Linked DNA regions of Yarrowia lipolytica. The protein of the gene in region 4 purifies or fractionates together with the protein of the main gene of each other region. This does not show direct contact. Links are inferred from orthologs where the notes say so. Each region holds a gene or a part of one and is shown on either strand. Other genes may lie near its edges. The genes, in order: YALI1_E02317g, YALI1_D32424g, YALI1_D13126g and YALI1_B16194g.

Evidence for each region.
Region 1: the proteins of YALI1_B16194g (region 4) and YALI1_E02317g purify together in Saccharomyces cerevisiae (affinity purification with mass spectrometry; 6 studies listed by BioGRID). This does not show direct contact. The link is inferred for Yarrowia lipolytica from reciprocal best matches to the Saccharomyces cerevisiae genes YTM1 and HAS1.
Region 2: the proteins of YALI1_B16194g (region 4) and YALI1_D32424g purify together in Saccharomyces cerevisiae (affinity purification with mass spectrometry; 6 studies listed by BioGRID). This does not show direct contact. The link is inferred for Yarrowia lipolytica from reciprocal best matches to the Saccharomyces cerevisiae genes YTM1 and DBP10.
Region 3: the proteins of YALI1_B16194g (region 4) and YALI1_D13126g purify together in Saccharomyces cerevisiae (affinity purification with mass spectrometry; 5 studies listed by BioGRID). This does not show direct contact. The link is inferred for Yarrowia lipolytica from reciprocal best matches to the Saccharomyces cerevisiae genes YTM1 and NOC3.

Annotation. Positions count from the first base shown.
Region 1 is NC_090774.1:229,936-234,306, reverse strand, and holds YALI1_E02317g (uncharacterized protein), read right to left. Parts: upstream 2,549-4,371; coding exon 731-2,548; downstream 1-730. Other genes in the region: YALI1_E02348g (uncharacterized protein), read left to right, coding at 1-440; YALI1_E02305g (uncharacterized protein), read left to right, coding at 3,604-3,749, 3,801-3,891; YALI1_E02290g (uncharacterized protein), read right to left, coding at 4,043-4,371. UniProt on the Saccharomyces cerevisiae protein: ATP-dependent RNA helicase involved in 40S ribosomal subunit biogenesis. Required for the processing and cleavage of 35S pre-rRNA at sites A0, A1, and A2, leading to mature 18S rRNA.
Region 2 is NC_090773.1:3,238,838-3,243,896, forward strand, and holds YALI1_D32424g (uncharacterized protein), read right to left. Parts: upstream 3,536-5,059; coding exon 755-3,535; downstream 1-754. Other genes in the region: YALI1_D32435g (uncharacterized protein), read left to right, coding at 4,585-5,059. UniProt on the Saccharomyces cerevisiae protein: ATP-binding RNA helicase involved in the biogenesis of 60S ribosomal subunits and is required for the normal formation of 25S and 5.8S rRNAs.
Region 3 is NC_090773.1:1,310,535-1,315,262, forward strand, and holds YALI1_D13126g (uncharacterized protein), read left to right. Parts: upstream 1-2,109; coding exon 2,110-4,167; downstream 4,168-4,728. Other genes in the region: YALI1_D13108g (uncharacterized protein), read left to right, coding at 275-964; YALI1_D13124g (uncharacterized protein), read right to left, coding at 1,136-1,933. UniProt on the Saccharomyces cerevisiae protein: Required for synthesis of 60S ribosomal subunits and the transport of pre-ribosomes from the nucleoplasm to the cytoplasm. Also required for initiation of DNA replication.
Region 4 is NC_090771.1:1,617,199-1,621,338, forward strand, and holds YALI1_B16194g (uncharacterized protein), read right to left. Parts: upstream 2,203-4,140; coding exon 667-2,202; downstream 1-666. Other genes in the region: YALI1_B16239g (uncharacterized protein), read right to left, coding at 2,974-4,140. UniProt on the Saccharomyces cerevisiae protein: Component of the NOP7 complex, which is required for maturation of the 25S and 5.8S ribosomal RNAs and formation of the 60S ribosome.

The DNA.
Region 1 (4,371 bases), on a different chromosome or scaffold from region 4:
GAATGGGCCAATACAGACGCGACAGGGGCGCGCCTGACTCTATTCCTAACGGAAACATCATAGCTCTTCTGATTCTCACAGGTGCCTGGGCCGCATTCTGCACCTCTGTGTGTCTCCAGAGCTTCTGGGGAGTGTGTCGGAACCTTACCGCCATGGAGGGTCTCGGAAGAAAACAGGGAGACATGGTTCTAGTCAACTTCAGATATGAAGGCAAGAGAATCATCCAACCTCTGCGAGAAGAGGACCCGCTGCCGTTCGACCAAGGCTTTGCAAAGAACTGGAGACAGGTTTTTGGAACCAACCCACTCATTTGGTTCCTTCCCTTTCCAGTCGTACCTGCTGCAGAAGACTACTTTTCCAATGCTTACGGACAGAAGTTCCTTGAGCGCATTCCAGCCAGGTGGCTGGAGGGTGACGGACGGGAAATGGCAGCGGTTTAGGACCTTGAAGGACAATTATAATCGCATAATACGGCTACACGCATCATCGGGCTGGCCAACCGAACATTTGAGATCTCATATTAAACACTAACATCAATGCATTGGTATATCTAAGTATGTATACATACTAATGTACAGGTACTCCTTACAAATACTGGAACCAGTACTGACAAGTAATTCTCAGCTAAGCGTATTTGAATTGTACAGATATACTTCTATTGCCATGCACCACTCATAATTCGTTCTAATGTCGTTTTATTACTTTCCTTATCCACTATCTATTATGCAATCTACCGTGTGAACTTCTTTCCGCCGGGTCCACCTCTCTTCTTGTGGTTGTCCTTACCCTTGATGCTCTTGGCGCCCTTACCGGAAGCTCCAATGGAAATGTTCACCTTGGGAGGCACATTGAAACCGAAGGACTTGGCCACCTTGACCAGATCGAGCTTGTCGATCTGGTAGACGGTCTTGAGGTGGTGCGAGGCGTATGCTTGCAGATAGGCTCGATATCCGTCCTTGGCAGAGGTGTTGAGCCAGTAGTTGGACGAGATGAGCTTCTCCAGCTGGCTCTGCACGTTGGCAATCTTCTTGTTGGGGAACTCGTACTCGTTGAGAGGCACCTTGGCAGCCTTGAGGTATCGCAGGAAGCCAAGCTCGGAGGGGGTCAGGAACATGATGGACTTTCCGGAGGCAGAACCTCGGGCAGTTCGTCCGACTCGGTGAATGTAGTCTCGGGGATCATCCGGAGGATCGAACTGGATAATCCAGTCAACCTTGGGAATATCCAGACCTCGTGCAGCCACATCAGTGCAGATTAGAACTCCCTGCTTGGCGTTAATGAACTCGAAGAAAGTGTTGGTTCGTTTCTGCTGCTTCTGCTTGCCGTGCAGATCGAGAACGGGCAGATCGATGTAGTTGAGCAGCTCTCCGTAGAACTTGACCGAGTTACAAGACGAAAGGAAGACAATGATCTTCTTGCCTGCGTTTCGCTTCAGGAAGGAGAACAGCAGCAGGAACCGCTTGTCAGAATCGCACACAACGTAGCCCTGCTCGAGACCCTCGGCGGTGGAGCTGACGTTGTGTTCGTCGACGTTAAGGTAGAGGGGACCCTTCTTGAGCGAAATTCGGGCCAGATCCTCGACCTTGGTGGTCTGTGTGGCTGAGAAGAGCATGGACTGTCGCTCCTTGGGGAGAATCTTGATAATCTCCTTCATTTCTTGCTCGAAACCGATCTCGAGAATTCGGTCGGCCTCATCGATAATAAGAGCCTTGAGGTTCTTGAAGACAAAGCCCTGGGAGTTCTGCAGATGATCGAGAAGTCGACCGGGGGTACACACCAGCAGGTTGACTCCCTTGTTGAGCTTCTCTTCCTCCTGTCGTCGGTTATTTCCACCAATCACAATGCCAAGGGTCTGGGAGTGGTTAGCCATGAGATCTCGAGCCACTCCGTAGATCTGGAGGGCCAGCTCTCGGGTGGGAGACACCACAATCACACCAGTACCGTTTCGAGGCTTGAACTTGAGTTTCCGCAGCATCTCGATGGCGGGAATCAGGAATGCCAGAGTCTTACCGGATCCGGTCTTGGCAGCTCCCAAAACATCTCGGCCAGCAAGCAGAGGAGGGATGGTCTTCTCCTGGACTGGAGTCATGGTCTCAAATCCCATGTCCTTCAGACTCTGCATGGTGTTCTCAGACAGAGGAATTGTGCTGAATGGCTTTCGCTCGGCGTCTGAGGCAATGTGGACAACCTCAGCGTCAGCGGGCGCAGTAGTGACAACGGCAGTGGACTCCTCTTCCTCGAGATCAGAGCCCTCTCCGTCATCTTCCTCCTCGATTTCGACGTCCTTTTCATCGTCATCGCTCATCTCGGAGTCCTCATTTCCGTTGGTCTCCTCCTCGTCTTCCTCCTCAACGTCTCCCTTCTCAAGGAGACCCTCAACCTCATCGAACTCATCATCGAGCTCATCAACCTCGTCCTTGGACTTGGAGGGCTTGGCGGACTTGGCGGGCTTGGACGAGGGCTTCTCGACCTTGGCCTTCTTATCGGCCTTGCCCTTCACCACGCTTCGGGCTTTCTTTTCGACTTTTTCCTTCTTGGTCAGACCCATGATTGTGCAATTAGGAGTGTGTTCCAATTTTTTACGCCTTTCATGCAATATCGAGAAAAATTTCGAACTGTAAAACTGTAACCTTATCTGCTCATAACATGTGTTGTATGGTGGCAATGTACATGCAGCACTACAGTACTCATAGCATTACGAACAAAACTCGCCTATTAGTGAATAACAGTCCAATTCAAAATATTGAGATTCGAATCTATATAAAACGTACAAGTGTCCTACTCAGTTGTGTAGGACTCAAATCACCATTGATCGTAGGTGTACATACTGTAGTATGCTTCGCTAGTCGTCATATAGTTAGCTGTGGCACCACACAATCCCCTAATCAAGAGGAGTATCAAGCCCGAGATCGGAAGACTTCTCAATGATAGGACTGGACTTGAGCTCAAACTTGGCTCCAGCATACTCTTTGGCCAGGTTGAGTCCAAGAGAGCCATGGACAGTATTGTTGTCATCGACAATGTACAGACCGTCGAGACCCTCAATCTTTACCAGAGAAGAAGCGGCGTGGTTGTCAAGGTATTCATTGACCTCTGCCTGGGTCTGGAACGTCTTGTTGCCTCGAGGAGTATAGCCCAACTGCTGGAGGCTCATTTTGGGATGGAAGTTGGAAAGCACTTTATGTTTGAATGTCCCTAGATCAGCTTTGTCTTTCGAAGAGTGTGACAAGAGCTGCTAGAGATGATTGTGAAATGTCGAAGACGGTTTAGACGGTTGACAAGGATCCCCACACATTTGCCACGCATTGTTGCTGTAGTTATGTTACCCTTACCCTTGATTACAGTTCGATAAGGTACGTTGAACGAGGATCTATTGGTATGGTTGAGGTCACGGGAGTGGTTGAGGGAGTTTCTAGTCCGGTACACTTTATAATTTTCGGCCCGTGATTACCATTTGACAGGATTTGGTGACAGATCACCTCAACTACTCTCTCTGTTCGTATGGCCTCCACTATGCAGCATTCATGCATGAACGTTCATCTAAACACCGTTTTAAACATTCTGAGACTCGCCTTCAAACACGCCTCGCACACAACTTCAGCCATGACAACAAGAGACCGTCAAATGACCCAGCTCAAGTCGCAGCTCGCGCAGCTTGAGGCTAATCTGGTTGACATGAGCAACCTCATGGAACGGACCACAGAACAAGCATTGCACATCAGAGAACTCGGCATTCTTCACGCGTCAATGTGAGTATTTGAGACATATGAAGGAGCCCACAAGCCAATGCTAACCACGAGATTCATGTCAGCACATGCCGCTTTCGAAAATGAGACGTTTCAGGCTGGCCAGGCAGAGGAAAAGATGATGGAGTCTGAGTATGAGGAGTAACTAAAGCTATTACGCGTCTCAACACAGTCAACCCACCCCATATTTATACAGTGTCGGAAAAGCACACCCAAGCATCCATGTTAATATATATACAAATAATAATTACTTATGGTACTATATACACTTTGGTTTTAAGTAGTCTGTAGGACCTTTATGCGCGGAAGATTTTACTGGCTCGGTTTCCACCCTTCTCCTTGCCTCGTTGTTGGAACTTGACCATCCACGCTCGCATTCGTTCACTTTCCTTCTGATTGTACGTGTCAAACGCCTCAGGAGTAGCTGCGTCGAGCATGACCTTACCTTTTTTTCCGCTGACCCACTCGTTGATCCACCGCAGAGCAGTTCCAGCGTCCTGGTTAGGAGTTGACCGCCACTTGCGCCGCAGTGCAACAAGAATATCGTTGATATCGTTGGTGGGAGGACACAGATCACGGTAACTCTTGGGATCATCTCTGTTGAGTGCGTACAAGAGGTAGTCAG
Region 2 (5,059 bases), on a different chromosome or scaffold from region 4:
AGACTTATTTTTACTGGAGGAGAAATGACGTGCGGTCGAGAGTCGAAACTTAGCACGCGCAGCTATATCATGGATTTGGACACGCAGGAGTTCAAGTCAGTATGGAATCAGGTTTGGAATAGTTGGGAAATAGTTGAGAAATAGTTGAAGTGCACTGGGGGTATGTATGTAATTTGGTGTTCCAGAGATGCTGAAGCCACAAAAAGGATACCAGACGATAGATAATGAAGGATTTGATGACAAAAATGATATTTCTGGTAATTTTTATCATACAAAATCTCGAGTTGTGGAGCATTTCTTATCCTATCGAAGTCAACGTTACTTGGTCATTTGTTGGGAATTACTTGAGAACAATTCTGGGTTTTTTTTATAAACGTGATATTCTAGTTTTATTTTCTATAGTGCAATGGGCCGTGGCTCGGAAATATTCCAGTCTCGTGATGAGGAGATGGAACGGAGACGAAACAAAATGTTCTCGTGACATGGTAGTAGATGGGTGGGTTTGTTCTTCAAGAGTGTGTAGAAACTTCGGCGAGTCGAGATTGGTGGTTGGTGGTGGTGGTGGTGTCAGATGTACATGTGAGATCAACTGCGAGCATGAGGACATGTGAGGTCAAACACTCATCATAGAAGTCCCCAAAAGAGTCACTAAACGACGCCCTCCAGAAGACCCACGTGACTTTTCACGTGACCAAACAAAAAACCACCTAACCAGCGACCTCCTCGATCAACCCCAATCCTCCGAAGACTCCTCTTAACGCCCTCCACGACCTCCTCCACGACCTCCACGACCTCCACCCCTGCCACCCCGACTCGGCCGGGCATTCTTCTGCTTGCGCTTCTCGGCCAGGATTCGGCTCTTTCGAACATCGGCGGTGGACTTGAGCTCGCTCTTGGGCTGGGGTTTCTGGATTCGTCCGTCTTCCTTGGCAGCGGCGACCTTGGTCTTTTGCTTGTGGAAATCGTCTCGGTACTTGTCGGCTCGTTTGGGGGCTTCGTTTTTGTTGTGTTTGAACTCTCGCGCAGACAAAACCCGCTTAGTGGCAGGCCCAGACTCCTCCAGAGCGCCAACCTTGAGATTGCCGACCTTGTGGGCGGCCTTCCACTTATCGAATCGGCCCGACCGGAACGACGCGGCGATTCGCTGGCCTCCCTCACCTCGAATGAACTTCTTGCCACCCTCCGAGCCCGCGTTGATGAACTTACCCTTCTTCTTGTCCCACTTCATGCCCTGTTTCTGCTGCATTTCCGAGCCGTCGTTGATGAGATCAAACGTGGCATTGGACGCAGCCCCGGCAAAGTTGCCCACAGCATAGCCCTTATCGTCGTTGGTGGGTGCGTAGTGGGACATGAAGTTCTCCGAGTCTCTGAAGGAGCGCTTCTTGGACTTTTGCGCCTTCTTGGCCGCCCGAAGATCCTCCTCCGTAGTGAACCCGGTGAGATCCGCCTCGGTAGCCATATCTTCCTCGGTAGACCGGGCAATCTCCGCATCCTGCGAATGAACCAGACCCGCCAGCCGCTCCTTTTCCTGAATGGCACGCTTTTCCGCGGCCCGGCGCTGGATCGGAGCCAGCTGGGCCCGACGAGTGGCCATCATCTCGGCGCCAGAGGTGGTTTTGCTCTTGCGGAACTCAAACACCGTTTCTCGAATGCGCTTCTGGCCCAATCGTGCCAACAACGCGTCCTTGGCAGACTCGCCATCCTCGCCAAACATGAGATGATGGTCGTCCCATCCCAGTGCCATAATCTGCTTTGACCGCTTGGCCGACTCCTGAGAAGCACTTCCCTTGGTCTTGTTGTACATTCGCTCGCCCTTGACCGCAACCTCCGACAGCTGCTGCAGCTCGTACGAGTCCTTGACCATCTGGGCGAGCTCCTCGCCGTGGATTTCGAGCGCCTGGCGCGGAGGAGCTCCAATTGTCAGAGTGTTGACGTAATCGGGCTCGGCCGAAGGGTCGGGATTCTGTTGCTTGAACAACCGAGGAGTCAGTAGCTTGCGGCCCAAAAACACCTCCAGATCCAACAGATACGGAATGTCGTTGTCCTTGATGATGGAATAAGCCCATCCGCGGTTGCCGGCTCGAGCTGTTCGACCCACACGATGGATAAACACCTTGGGGGACGGAGGAAGCGAATAATTGATAACATTGGCCAGAACAGGCACATCAATACCTCGCGCAGCCACATCAGTGACCACCAAGATAGACGTTTTGCCCGTGCGGAACCGATACAGCTGGTTCTTACGAGCATGCTGGTCCAACGTGCCGTAAATGTACGAAACCGCGTACCCCAGAGTTTGAAGCAAGACAATGACATACTCCACATGATGCTTGGTGGGACAGAAGACGATGGTCGACTTTTCCGAGGGCAATTGGTGCGCAGGGGGCAGCCGTTCTTTCTTGAACTTGGGCCGTTTTTGTTTCCGGTCCTCATCCCGTTCTCCGTCGTCAATGGCCCGTTCATCCAGTCGCTCGAGCTCTTTGAGCTGCTCCGGCGTTGCAAACGGCATCTGGATCACCTCCTTGAGAATGAAGGCCAAGCAGGCGTCTCGCTGGTTCTCCTTGACGGCAAAAAACGTCATTTCCAAATGCTCTGGCAACTTGGTCTCGGCATCCAGACGAACCAGAATCGGGTCGTGAAGACCAGCCTTGGCAAACTCCACCAGCGTCTTGGGAAGCGTGGCGGAAAACAGCAGAGTCTGTCTGTTGCTGGGCAACGACGCTAACAGCTCGTTCATCTGCTCACCAAAACCCAGCTCGAACAGCCGGTCGGCCTCGTCGAAACAAATGTACTCCACCGACGCCAACGACAGCTCCATCTCCACCTTGAGATGCAGAAACCGGCCTGGGGTGGCGATAATAATGTCTGGATTGGACATCATCATTTTGAACTGCTCCTCCAGCGAATCGCCTCCAACCAACATGGCCAGACGCAGATCGGTGCCGGCAGAAAAGTCCTTGACCACCTTGAGCGTCTGCAGCGCTAGCTCACGTGACGGCGACAGAATCACCGCCCGCGCGCCCACCTTGGCGCTGTGGACCTTGAGCTTCTCCAACATGGGCAGCACAAACGCCGCTGTCTTGCCACTTCCGGTTCGGGCCATTCCCACCACGTCTTTGCCCTCCAGAACCAGCGGAATCGTCTTTCGCTGGATCGGCGTCGGCTGCTTGAACCCCTTTCGTGCAATATTTTTAAGCACCAACTGCGACAAACCCAGACCAGCAAAACTGCCCGAGCTTTTTTTGCCCGTTTGCGGTGCTCCAAAGTAGCTTTCCACCGAGTCGTCCGTCTTTTTCTTCTTCTTCTTTCTGCCCTCGTCGTCATCGTCGTCGTCGTCATCGTCATCGGACAGTTCCAGATTGGGGAAAGTCATGGTGCCCGGTTCGCCCTGCTGGGGCCCGGTCTCATCTTCACTGTCCTCAATAATGTCGGGAATCTCGCTGTCGGACTCTGATCCGGACGAATAGTCGTCTTCCGAATCCACCCCCGGATTCAAAGACCCCGCAATGTCGTATTCAACCTCACTGTCGGACATTTTCGTGCTGAAGTGTGGTATGTAGTAGGCTGTGAGATAGGGATAGATTCCAGGTAGAATTTATTGAGATAAGGTTTGGAAAAAAAATTAGAGGATAACTTTAAATATATATATATATATATTTTCAAGAAAAATCGAAACCTCGTCAGTTCGAGTTTGAGCACGACATTACTTGCAACATGCGAACTTGAAGAGAGCGAGAAATTGAACCATTTGAAAGAATAGATACAACATGAAACAGTCTAAGTGTATTTTCTTAATCAAATTTTGACCCGGTAGAACCCGAGATAGACGTGCAACCACCTGAACAGTTGCTTAGTTGGCGAAAATGGACATCGCAAGAGATATTGAGGAAAAACGGGTGGTTGAAATGGATTTCTGGAAGGAAGAGGAGTCCATTGGTATCTTCTAGTATGTTTCAGCTCAACTAGAACGCTCATTAAACCCATTCTCAATTCAGACCTCATACTGTTCGTAAAATGAGTAATTTTGAAAATGTAGAAAAAGTAATAGAATCAGTGGATAGCTTAGATCAAGAGAAATCCAATGGTGAACTCCATTTTCTTGTAGCTCTTCCCCATGGCTAGCTAAGTGCTTGTATAGAGACTCTGAGCATAGGAGACAATAAGTGATCGTTGCTTGAACTAGTCTGAAAGTCCGATTAAATCAATAAAAACTAAGACTAAAACTAGTACCAATGGTCAACCACAAACGCCACCATTCCAATCATATCATTATTTTCTCAATTTGATATTGTTTTACTATAGCTTGGGCAGATTCAATGATTTCTCATTCGCCACCGGTCTTAAACGTGTCTTATAGAATGTCTAATAGTGGTCAAATTTGTCTGATAAATTAACAGTTTCTCTATTCAAACCAGTATGATCAAATTAAGCCTGCTCCCAGCTCATTCCAGACAGTATTCATTATTCTCCAAAATGCCCCCAACCTCGAATCGAACCCACAAACACATTCACTCCCATCATTTCCAGATCACCACTGTCCAGATCACAGTCTGATCAACAACCTCCTCGACCTCCACAACCACCATGGGCTCTTCCGCAAGTAAGGCGAAGCGTTTCCAGCCCGCAGCCGAGGCCGGCAAGCGCGCCATCGATCTGTCCGTGAAAACCAAACATCAGCACATTCGCCAAGAGACGGCCGACCCCAATCGGTCGCAACCGGCTCCCATGCCCATGGCTTCGCAGACCAAGAACGAGGACATTGTCAGGGACGGCGGGGACCGAGATTTCGCGCGGCAGCTCATGGATCTCGGGGCCGTCAAACTGACCGAGTCTGAGGTCCAATACAGCAAGAGCAATCCTGTTTTGGAGGCTCTGAAGGCTCGCGAGGCCCTGGATGAGGCCGCTGAGGCCGAGTCTGGGGACTTTAGCAAGCCCCGAACGCTCCTGAACCCGGCCACCATCTCCGGAATTCTCGAGTCGCAAAAGGCTGGCGAAACAGACATCACTAGAGACTACAATCTGGCTCCCGGAGTGGCCGACAAGTTGAAGTATGTGAGTG
Region 3 (4,728 bases), on a different chromosome or scaffold from region 4:
AGATTTGAACTGATGATCTCAGCATTACTAGTGCTGCGCCTTACCACTTGGCCACGAAGGCGAGAGATACTTTCTTCCCCAAGGTGGAAATTACCAACCTTATTCACTGTCACGTGACTATAGATTGCAAAGAATGTTTGGGGAGCCGATTTGTGCGCAAGGAGACGGTAAATGGCACTTTACTGATAGTTTTTGTAATGAAGAGAACGTCAACTCTCTAATACCCGTAAAATCTCATTCCATCAGCAACCGTTACCTGTAGATATGAGTCCTGATGACGATGCCATTTTCCAGTCGCAAAAATAAGGTTCATCACTCCGTCTTAATTACACCCTCGAATTTCATCTCGGCCATGCATCCCATAGTGCCTCAACCTGGCTCTGTGGCGGACAGTCAACGCAACACAAATATGGTGAAGCCGCGCTCCAAGGTGGAAAAGCCCTCCAGCAAGAAAAAAACGTCCGGCAAGGATAAATCCAAATCCGAGGAGGTGATGAAGGTGGAGCAACATGAGGGAGATGAGACGGAAGAACAGGTTGAAGAGAAGGAGAAATCCGAGGAGGTGGAGAAGTCTCCACAAGTGAACGTCAAAGAAGAAGACACTCCACAGGAAGCTCTCAACTCACCCGAGGTGTCTCAATCTTCGGAACTGGCCGAAAACACAGACTACATTGCTCTGACTTCTGCGCTGTCCATGCTTACGAGACAGCAAGAGACGAGCAAAAGAGACTTGGTCAAACTGTCGCAAATGAGACAGCAGGCGGTGGAGCAACCCGAGCAGTTTTTGGAAAAGGTCAAGAGCGGACAAGTGTCTTTCCCCAAGGCTCTCTATGTCACCATGGTTCCTTCAATCGACTGGAACCAGTACGACTTTGATAACCGAGAGTTGGACGCTGTTATCGGGCGTCAGAGAAAGGAGTCAGAAAAGGGTGTTGTTGAAGAGGTTCCGTTGTTTAACCAGTAGTGGACTGTACACCAAGAGGCTACAGTACTCATCAAACAACAATTTATGACACAGTACCTCCAGTGTCTTGGTATTTATAGGTAAAATGTATTATTATTGTATTATTATTGTAGCACTACTACCGTACAAGAATTACATTCCGTATTGTATGCAATCTATTATCTAGTTAGGTCACTCCACAGTGGCGTTGGAAAAGTCCACGTTATAGGTGGGATCATCCTTTCGAGAAATCTTTCGGTACTCGTCAATAACCTTTTGTCGCTCGGCCTCGAGAATGAGACGCCGGGCGTTGTCTCCGGAAGCCTTGGGGACGTTAGGAAGCAGCTTTCGAGGCAGATTCAGCACAGGGGGAGCGTCAGCCACCTCTCCAAACTTGGCCTTCTTGTTCTTCTTTTCTAGCACGGCCCAAGGATCGGGCGACTTATCTCTCTGCTTCTTGGGGAAGAACAGGTCGTTCTTGAGCCGTTTCTCATCCATCCCGTCTCCCTCCTCTGCAGCCTCATCGGCCTTCTTGTAGTCCATCTCGTTCTGCAGAACCCGGTTCTTCTGCTTCTGAATGTTCTTCTTGTCAAGCCGTGTGAGCTCCTTGGCGTTTTCCGACTTGCGGGGCTTCGCATTGGGCAGCGCTTCGTCAACTCTTCGAGAGAAGTCCGCCCACGACTCACCGGGTTTCATTTGCAGCTCGGAGTTCTCATGCGAAATGTGTTTGTTGGTAGGGTACAGTTCCTTCTTTTGCTTCTTTCGGCCCCTCTCCTCCTCCTGGCTCTGGGCAGTTCGCTCCTGGCGGGCCATCATTCGCTTGAAGCTCTTGGGGGTATCGTCATCGTGACTGTCGTTGTAGTTGTCCTTGGCGAACTTCCCCTTCTTCTTGGTGAACTTGCTCTTCTTTCGGTTAGAGAAGTCCTCGGGGTCCTGGTCCAGCGGTACCACCTCTCGTTTGAGCACGTTTCTCGGTCGTTTTCGGGGCATTTGTGTATGGTGATGAGTATATCTGAAGTATCTTGGAACTACAGTGATGCTGGAATAAACTTGCACTGCATGAAATTATTTTTCTGACGACAAACCTTATTCAAGAAATTTACAGACATGCTGCTACGAGGATATTGGTGATATAACAACGCCATACACAGACACACAAACACACAATGGTGAAACGATCGCGAGACGTGGCCAAGTTTGAAAAGCGGGCCAAGGCTCGGCAGGAGCAGGACAGCAAGCTTGCGCAATCATGGCAGTACATCAAAGACTCTGACAACGAGGAGGATGAGGACTATGGACCTCGATCTTTCAAGGAGGAAGAATCTCTCGGTGAAATGCTGCCTGTGCGAGGCGAAGACGGCCAGATCAAGCGGGTGATGCGCAAGAAGGGCGACAAAATCAGCAAGCGAAAGCTGGAGGAGCAAGCTGAGAGACAGCGACAGGAGGAAGAGGAGGAGGCAGCTCGAGAGGCAGCAGAGGCAGCAGCAGCAGAACAGGCAGCCAAGGAGGCCGCCGAGAAGGAAGAGGAGGACGACATTGGCGATTCTGATTTCGAGGAGGAAGACGAGGTCACTGGAGAGGCCCGATTTCGAAAGGCCCAGGCCGAGATTGCAGAACTGGCCGACCAGCTCAACGAGGACGCCGAGGAGAACATTCACTGTCTGCGCAAGATTCGGGAGCTCATGGGTCGAAAGCAGTCATTCCGGGTGGTACAACTGACGATTCTGTCGCTGGTTCCTATTTTCCAGTCGATCATTCCTGGTTACAAAATCAGACCCTTAACCGAGGCCGAAAAGCGAGAAAAGGTGTCTAAGGAGGTCAAGAGACTACGAAACTTCGAGACGTCGCTGCTGCAGAACTACAAGGCGTATCTAGACTACATTAGCAAGTTTTCCAAGAAGGCCCGAGGCTCCACTGAAGGCACCATGAAACGAATTTTGGGAGACTCGTGCGTGGTGGCAGCCTGCGAACTTCTCAAGACGTCTGCGTACTTCAACTTCAGATCTGACCTCGTGGCGATTGTGGTGAACCGTGTGGGACAGAAGCCCTACGACGCCAACTACTTCAAGGCGTTGTCCACCATCGAGTCTCTGTTTGAGGACGACTTCGAGGGTTCTGCTGTGAAGGAGATTGTCATGTCCTTGTCCAAGATGATCCGTGCAAAGAAGTATAGAATTGACGAGTCGTTGCTCAACTCACTGCTTAAACTGCGGTTGCTGACAGAGCTCGACGCCAGAGCTTCCCAGAGACACGTGGAGTCTCAACAAGCACCGACAGCCAAGGTGCGAAAGAAGGACCGAGTGCACCTGACCAAGAAGCAGCGAAAAACGCTCAAGGAGAAGAAGGAGATCGACGAGGAGATGCTAAAGGCAGAGATGGCGGTATCGACCGAGGAGCGAGAGAAGATCCAGGGAGAGACGCTCAAAATCGTCTTTGTTCTGTACTTTAACATTCTCAAGGAACGACCACAGCATCTCATGGCAGCCACTCTGGAGGGTCTGGCCAAATTTTCGCATCTCATCAACGCCGACTTCTTTGGCGATCTGCTGGAGGTGCTACGGGAGCTCATCACCGAGCGTCAAATCCGATACACCGACGACGGAAAGCAAGAGTTCTTGGAAACCTCTACCCGAGAGGCTCTTCTGTGTATTGTCACTGCATTCGTGCTGCTTGGAGGCCAGGTGGGCGAGTCCATGAACCTCGATCTGACCTTCTTCATCAACCACTTCTACTCGTCACTCTACGCTCTGGGTCTCAACCCCGACATTGAGCTGTCACACAAGTCTCTTCGTCTTGATGATCCCAACACCAACGAGTCCGCCAGCAATAAGCGGTCCAAAATCAACGTGGCCACAGAGATGGAGATGGTGGTGAGGTCGTTCGAGGGTATTTTCTTGCAGCAGAAGCACGTGTCTCGGCTGCGAGTCCAGGCTTTTGCGAAGAGACTGGCTACCATCTGTCTCCAGCTACCCGAAAAGTCGTGCATGGCCGGTCTCAAGATTCTCGACCGGCTCAATAAGAAGTTCACCGTTATGACCGCTCTGTACTCGTCCGACGACCGAATCACCAACGGAGTGTACCGAATGGACGTGGACCAACCCGACCATGCCAACCCCGAAGCATCTACCATCTGGGAGACAGTGTTGCTGGAGAAACACTTCTCGCCAGACATTGCCAAGGCCGCCAAACTGGTGCCCCGAAACGTCAAGAAGAACAAGCATTAGAGAGGATTATAGAAATGTATATTTGGACAACAGGAATAGCTAGTGAGTGACTGAGTGTAAACAGTGTGTTATAGATGAGTAAATCTACCATACGATTCATCTGAATGTATAGGCAAAGCTCTATAGGAGCTACAGTTACTCAGCAACTGCACCTGCGTTTGATTATGCCGTATCTGACAATGACGCAATCAATAGTATCCATTATGGAAAATGAGGATCCAGTAACTATGTATTCATTCAGACATAACACAACATACGATAAGACGTGGAAAGGGGTCATAGAGAGAGACCCCCACCTTTCCGATGGACATAGTCTATGGGAAATGCAGGTCAGGATGCTTTCAGATGTTTTGAGAACTCTCAAACAACTGTAGTGAGTACACAGGAATGAAAGTAGTTGTAATATCTTCTGTACTGTGGTAGCTGAGTTCAGAGCTCTCTCTTGACATTAGTAGGTTCGTATAACAAACGTCGGTCGATCTGCGTCAGTACCTCGATTATGCTATTCAAATGCAGAACACCTCCGTTGATATCACCACGACCCATGCTCTACATTGTCTT
Region 4 (4,140 bases):
GTCTAAGGTTCTGTAATTAGGACTCCGTAACAGGTACGTCAAAACTTAGCTAACGTCATTCAAGAGTGTTTTTTCAAGAGTGTAGATGATAAATCAGATTTACAGTAAGTGAAGGAACCCCGCAAGGAAGGTGTCATCAGGAGGTCCATCAATAAAAGAATGTCTGATTTGGTTTGTTTGACGAAGAAAAATCTTCATGATTCTTGTCGATATGTGTTGGTGAATTTGCCCGTACAAGTACGAGTACTGTACGTACAGGTGTATTTGTATCACACCATGGAGGACCAATTCAGCAGTGATAAGAAAAAAACAAAAAAAAAGGAAGAAAAAAAAAAGACAGGAAACAAAGGCAATAACAACAACAGCAATATAATGTAATTGTACTTGTACCCGAGTGCCTGTTTTAGTTGCCCCGAACTTGTGCCTGTCACTTCCGGTAATGAACTATTAACCTAGCGTTGTTTGTACTTGTACTTGAGTTGTACCACGCGACGTGCACTCTTGTAGCTACAGTAGTTACAGTATAGATCGAGCACATAGGATAACTCATTTACGAAGTCAACCTGTTCCACTCTATCACAATATTACAAGTAGCCTACTGACACACCCTCTCCTCTATATCTACAATTACCTATACGTACATGATGCAAAAACCCCTGGGGTGCCTTAGGCGCTCTGGGGGTTGTTATTAATCTGGATCTTGTTGTCCTGGCCACCAGAGACAATACCCAGGTTTTGTTTCCAGTCCACGCCAAACACGGCATTGTTCTCTGTCAGAGTCTCTCGGTGGATCACGTGCAGAGACTTGGTGGTTCGAACATCCCATATTCGGACAGTTCCATCGTGAGATCCTGAAGCCAGCAGGAAGGGGTTGGATTCGGGTCCTCGCGACAGCGACGACACGAAGTTGGTGTGGCCCACCAGCTTGGCCTGAGTTGCCACCTGTGCAGTTACTCGGGGGTCGTGCAGGGTAATGTGACGGGCTGAAGAGCCGCAGGCAATGAGACCCTGGGGCAGGGTGCAAAGGGAAAGAAGCGAAAAGGAGGTGGATCGGGTATCGACCGAAGGATCGGGGGATCCGGCGTTGCTCTGGACAGCCTCGGCGGTGGCGAGATCCCAGGTTTTGATGGTGTGATCCAGAGACACAGAGTAGGCGACTGTGGGGTCGGAATGATGGAATGCGACGGCCGAAACGGCGGCGGAGTGGCCGCCCATGACTGCCAGAGGACCTCGCTGACGAGCAGCTCCCAGACCGGTGGCTCCAGAGCCGGAGTTGGCGAGCTTTCGTCGCTTCTGTGCAGAAGTGGAAGTCAGACCGCCAGCGGCAGCGGTATGGGGCTCAATTGCCGGCATGTCATTGTAGTCGGTAGACCACAGACCCACGGATCCGTCTGCGGAGGCGGAGATGATCTTTCCGGTCTTGGCGTGAACAGCAAGATCGTTGATGGGTGCGGTATGTCCATGTAGAGCTGCCATAGGGGTCACGGTAGAGGCGGCTGGAAGCTCATCGAGCATCTCCTCATCACTGTCCTCCTCACTGTCGTAGTTGAGCTCCTTCTTGCCCACCTGTCCAGGTTCCTTTCGTCGGTACTTCTTTCCGTCGGGGTTCCATAGGTACAAAAGTCGGTCGGAACCTCCAGAAACGAGCTGGTCATTAGAGATCCATCGCACAGCCTTGGCGGCGGAGTTGTGGCCCACAAGCTGGCCGGTCACATGACCCGAGTGGTCCCACAGACGCACGACTCCGTCGTAAGATCCCGAGGCGATGACGGGTTTCAGATCGCCAGTCCACCGGGCGTTGATATCGACAGCAGCGACCCAGTCGGGGTTGGAGAAAGAGGCCAGAAATGATGGAGGCAGCACAGATCGAATGTACTCGATCGACAGACTGACTTCGGAAGACAAACCGTTGTCAGCAAGGAAAGACTCCAGGGAGGCTCCTGGTCGTAGAAGCACCGAGGAAGAAGAGGCAGACTCCTCGTCGAGAATCGAAGCTCCTCCATCGCCGGCAGTAGCCTTCACAATGAGGAAATCAAGAGGAACAGGAGTCTCAGTGTCCAGCAGCTGGTTGACGATTTCAGACAGACCCAGACGCTTGAGGGAAGTAGGGACCATGACGGGAGGCAGGGGAGCCTCGGGCTGCAGGGTCTCGTCCCGGGTCACGAAGACCACCTTGACCGACTGCGATTCTTGGTTGGTCATCTCGGTAAAGTTGTGTGATGGGTTGTGTGTGGTGATAATAACGGTATGGTGATTTGTTTTGCCAGCTGCATTATTTTTTTTCCTGTATGCCGAGTTTAAATTTGTAGCCGTGGTTGGGAGGAGACATGGGCCTGGGAGGGTCTGAGGTTGGATCCAGAGAGGAGAGAGGGGAAGTGTTGTAATGTTGTAGTTGCTGTTGTGTTCTTAGTGTGAGGGGCAAAGTCGACGCTACCCAACCCTTTGTGTGCCTCAACCCCTGTTTGGAGCTCTTAATCACTACTCAATATTTTACACAGTACACACTCCATACAGTACAAGCATTCGTAGATAGCAAACTTTGAAGCAGAGATGAGTTGCGTCTTGATAATTACTGATCAGACGTTGATAGAGTGTAGGTAGCACAGTAGAAGGGATATATGGAAGGGCTTATAAATCACCCTAATCATAATAATTGGACAGTCGATCTTATTAAATTGTTCGTTCATCGCATCCCTTAGCCCTGCCAGTATGATCCCCGACGTCGCTTCAGCGTCACTCTACCAAACCCATCTGACACTTTTACAGTTCCAGGGTCCATCCCGAGACCGATGCCTGGGACACTGTACTGTGGACACTAAACTTACTGTAACTGAGACCTTGACAGTGAGATACAAAGATGGACTTTAAAAAACAGTAGTTTCTCATTTAAATGATCATAATACAATAAATTAATTAGATGATACAATTATACAGGCGTTCGCGTTTGCACAGACTTCTTCCGCTTGTTCGTGTTCATGCAGCCTGGGCCTGGGCTTGATGAATGGGAACCTCCCGGTCGGACCACCCATTCATCTGACGAAGAGCTGACTCTACCAGACTGTTGGGCTCAAATGAACAGGTGTCCTTGAGTGGCTGGCCTCGGTGAACAGGGTACTGCTTGAACCATAGCTTGGCAACTGCTCCACGGCAGTGGACACCCACAGTCTCAGCCACAGACTCAACGGCAGAGACCTGGTCGGGGAACAGACCAAACGCCTTGATGACCATATAACCAATAGCCATGAGCAGCACAGGCAGCCAGAAGGCAAATAACATGCGATCGTTAGCCATGGATCGTCGCTGTCGTCTCCAGGCCTCTACCAGCTGCTCCTCGTCCTCCACAATGGGGGCTAGTGGGGAGGGCACCACAGCGGCAGCCGCAGAAGTGGACGCAACTGCTGAAGATGAGGCTCCAACAGGCCCAGACGAGTTCTCGGCAGCAGAAGCAGCGGCCATCTGCACAACCTTCTTGTCGTGGACAACCCCATGGCCAGGGAAGATTTCTTCGTAGGCAGGGGGAGCACCGGCTCCGTTTGCATCTCGAGATCGAGACCGGGTGGCCTCATCGGCAGACGAGTTCTTCAGGTATCGCCACATTCGCGAGATGGACGAATGAGACCGGCCTCGACCGGCACCGCCGGAAGGGGCATGTGCAGAAATGGTTCGGTCGGACTCGTCTCCCGAAGACGTGATGGGATGGTCCGAAAGAGGCGATCTTGTGGATCTGACTGAAGGAGGAGCTCCAGAAGACCGCTTGTTGGGCACAGTAGCTCGCTTGGGTCTGTAAATGTAAGCCAGAACATCGTCCCAAGATGCCATGCTGAGAGTACGGTCAAAGTACCGTGAAAAGGACTTGTTCTCAGTGGAAGTGTCAGATCTCACGTGATCCGAGTCATTGGAAGACACCACGTCGGGTACATTGCTACTGACGATTCCGGCAGCCACACGGGCCTCCACAGCCTGGTCTTCGGCCTCAATGTGTCGCACAAGTCGCTCTTCCTCCTCAGAGAGAGGAGATTCCACAGACTTGGCCTTGGCGTGCTTTCTAACAGACATGAAGAGCGCGTCTGAGTCATCGTCTGAGTCCTCATCTGAATCGTCGTCAAAGTCTCCATCCTCCTCATCTCGCTCGTCCCACTC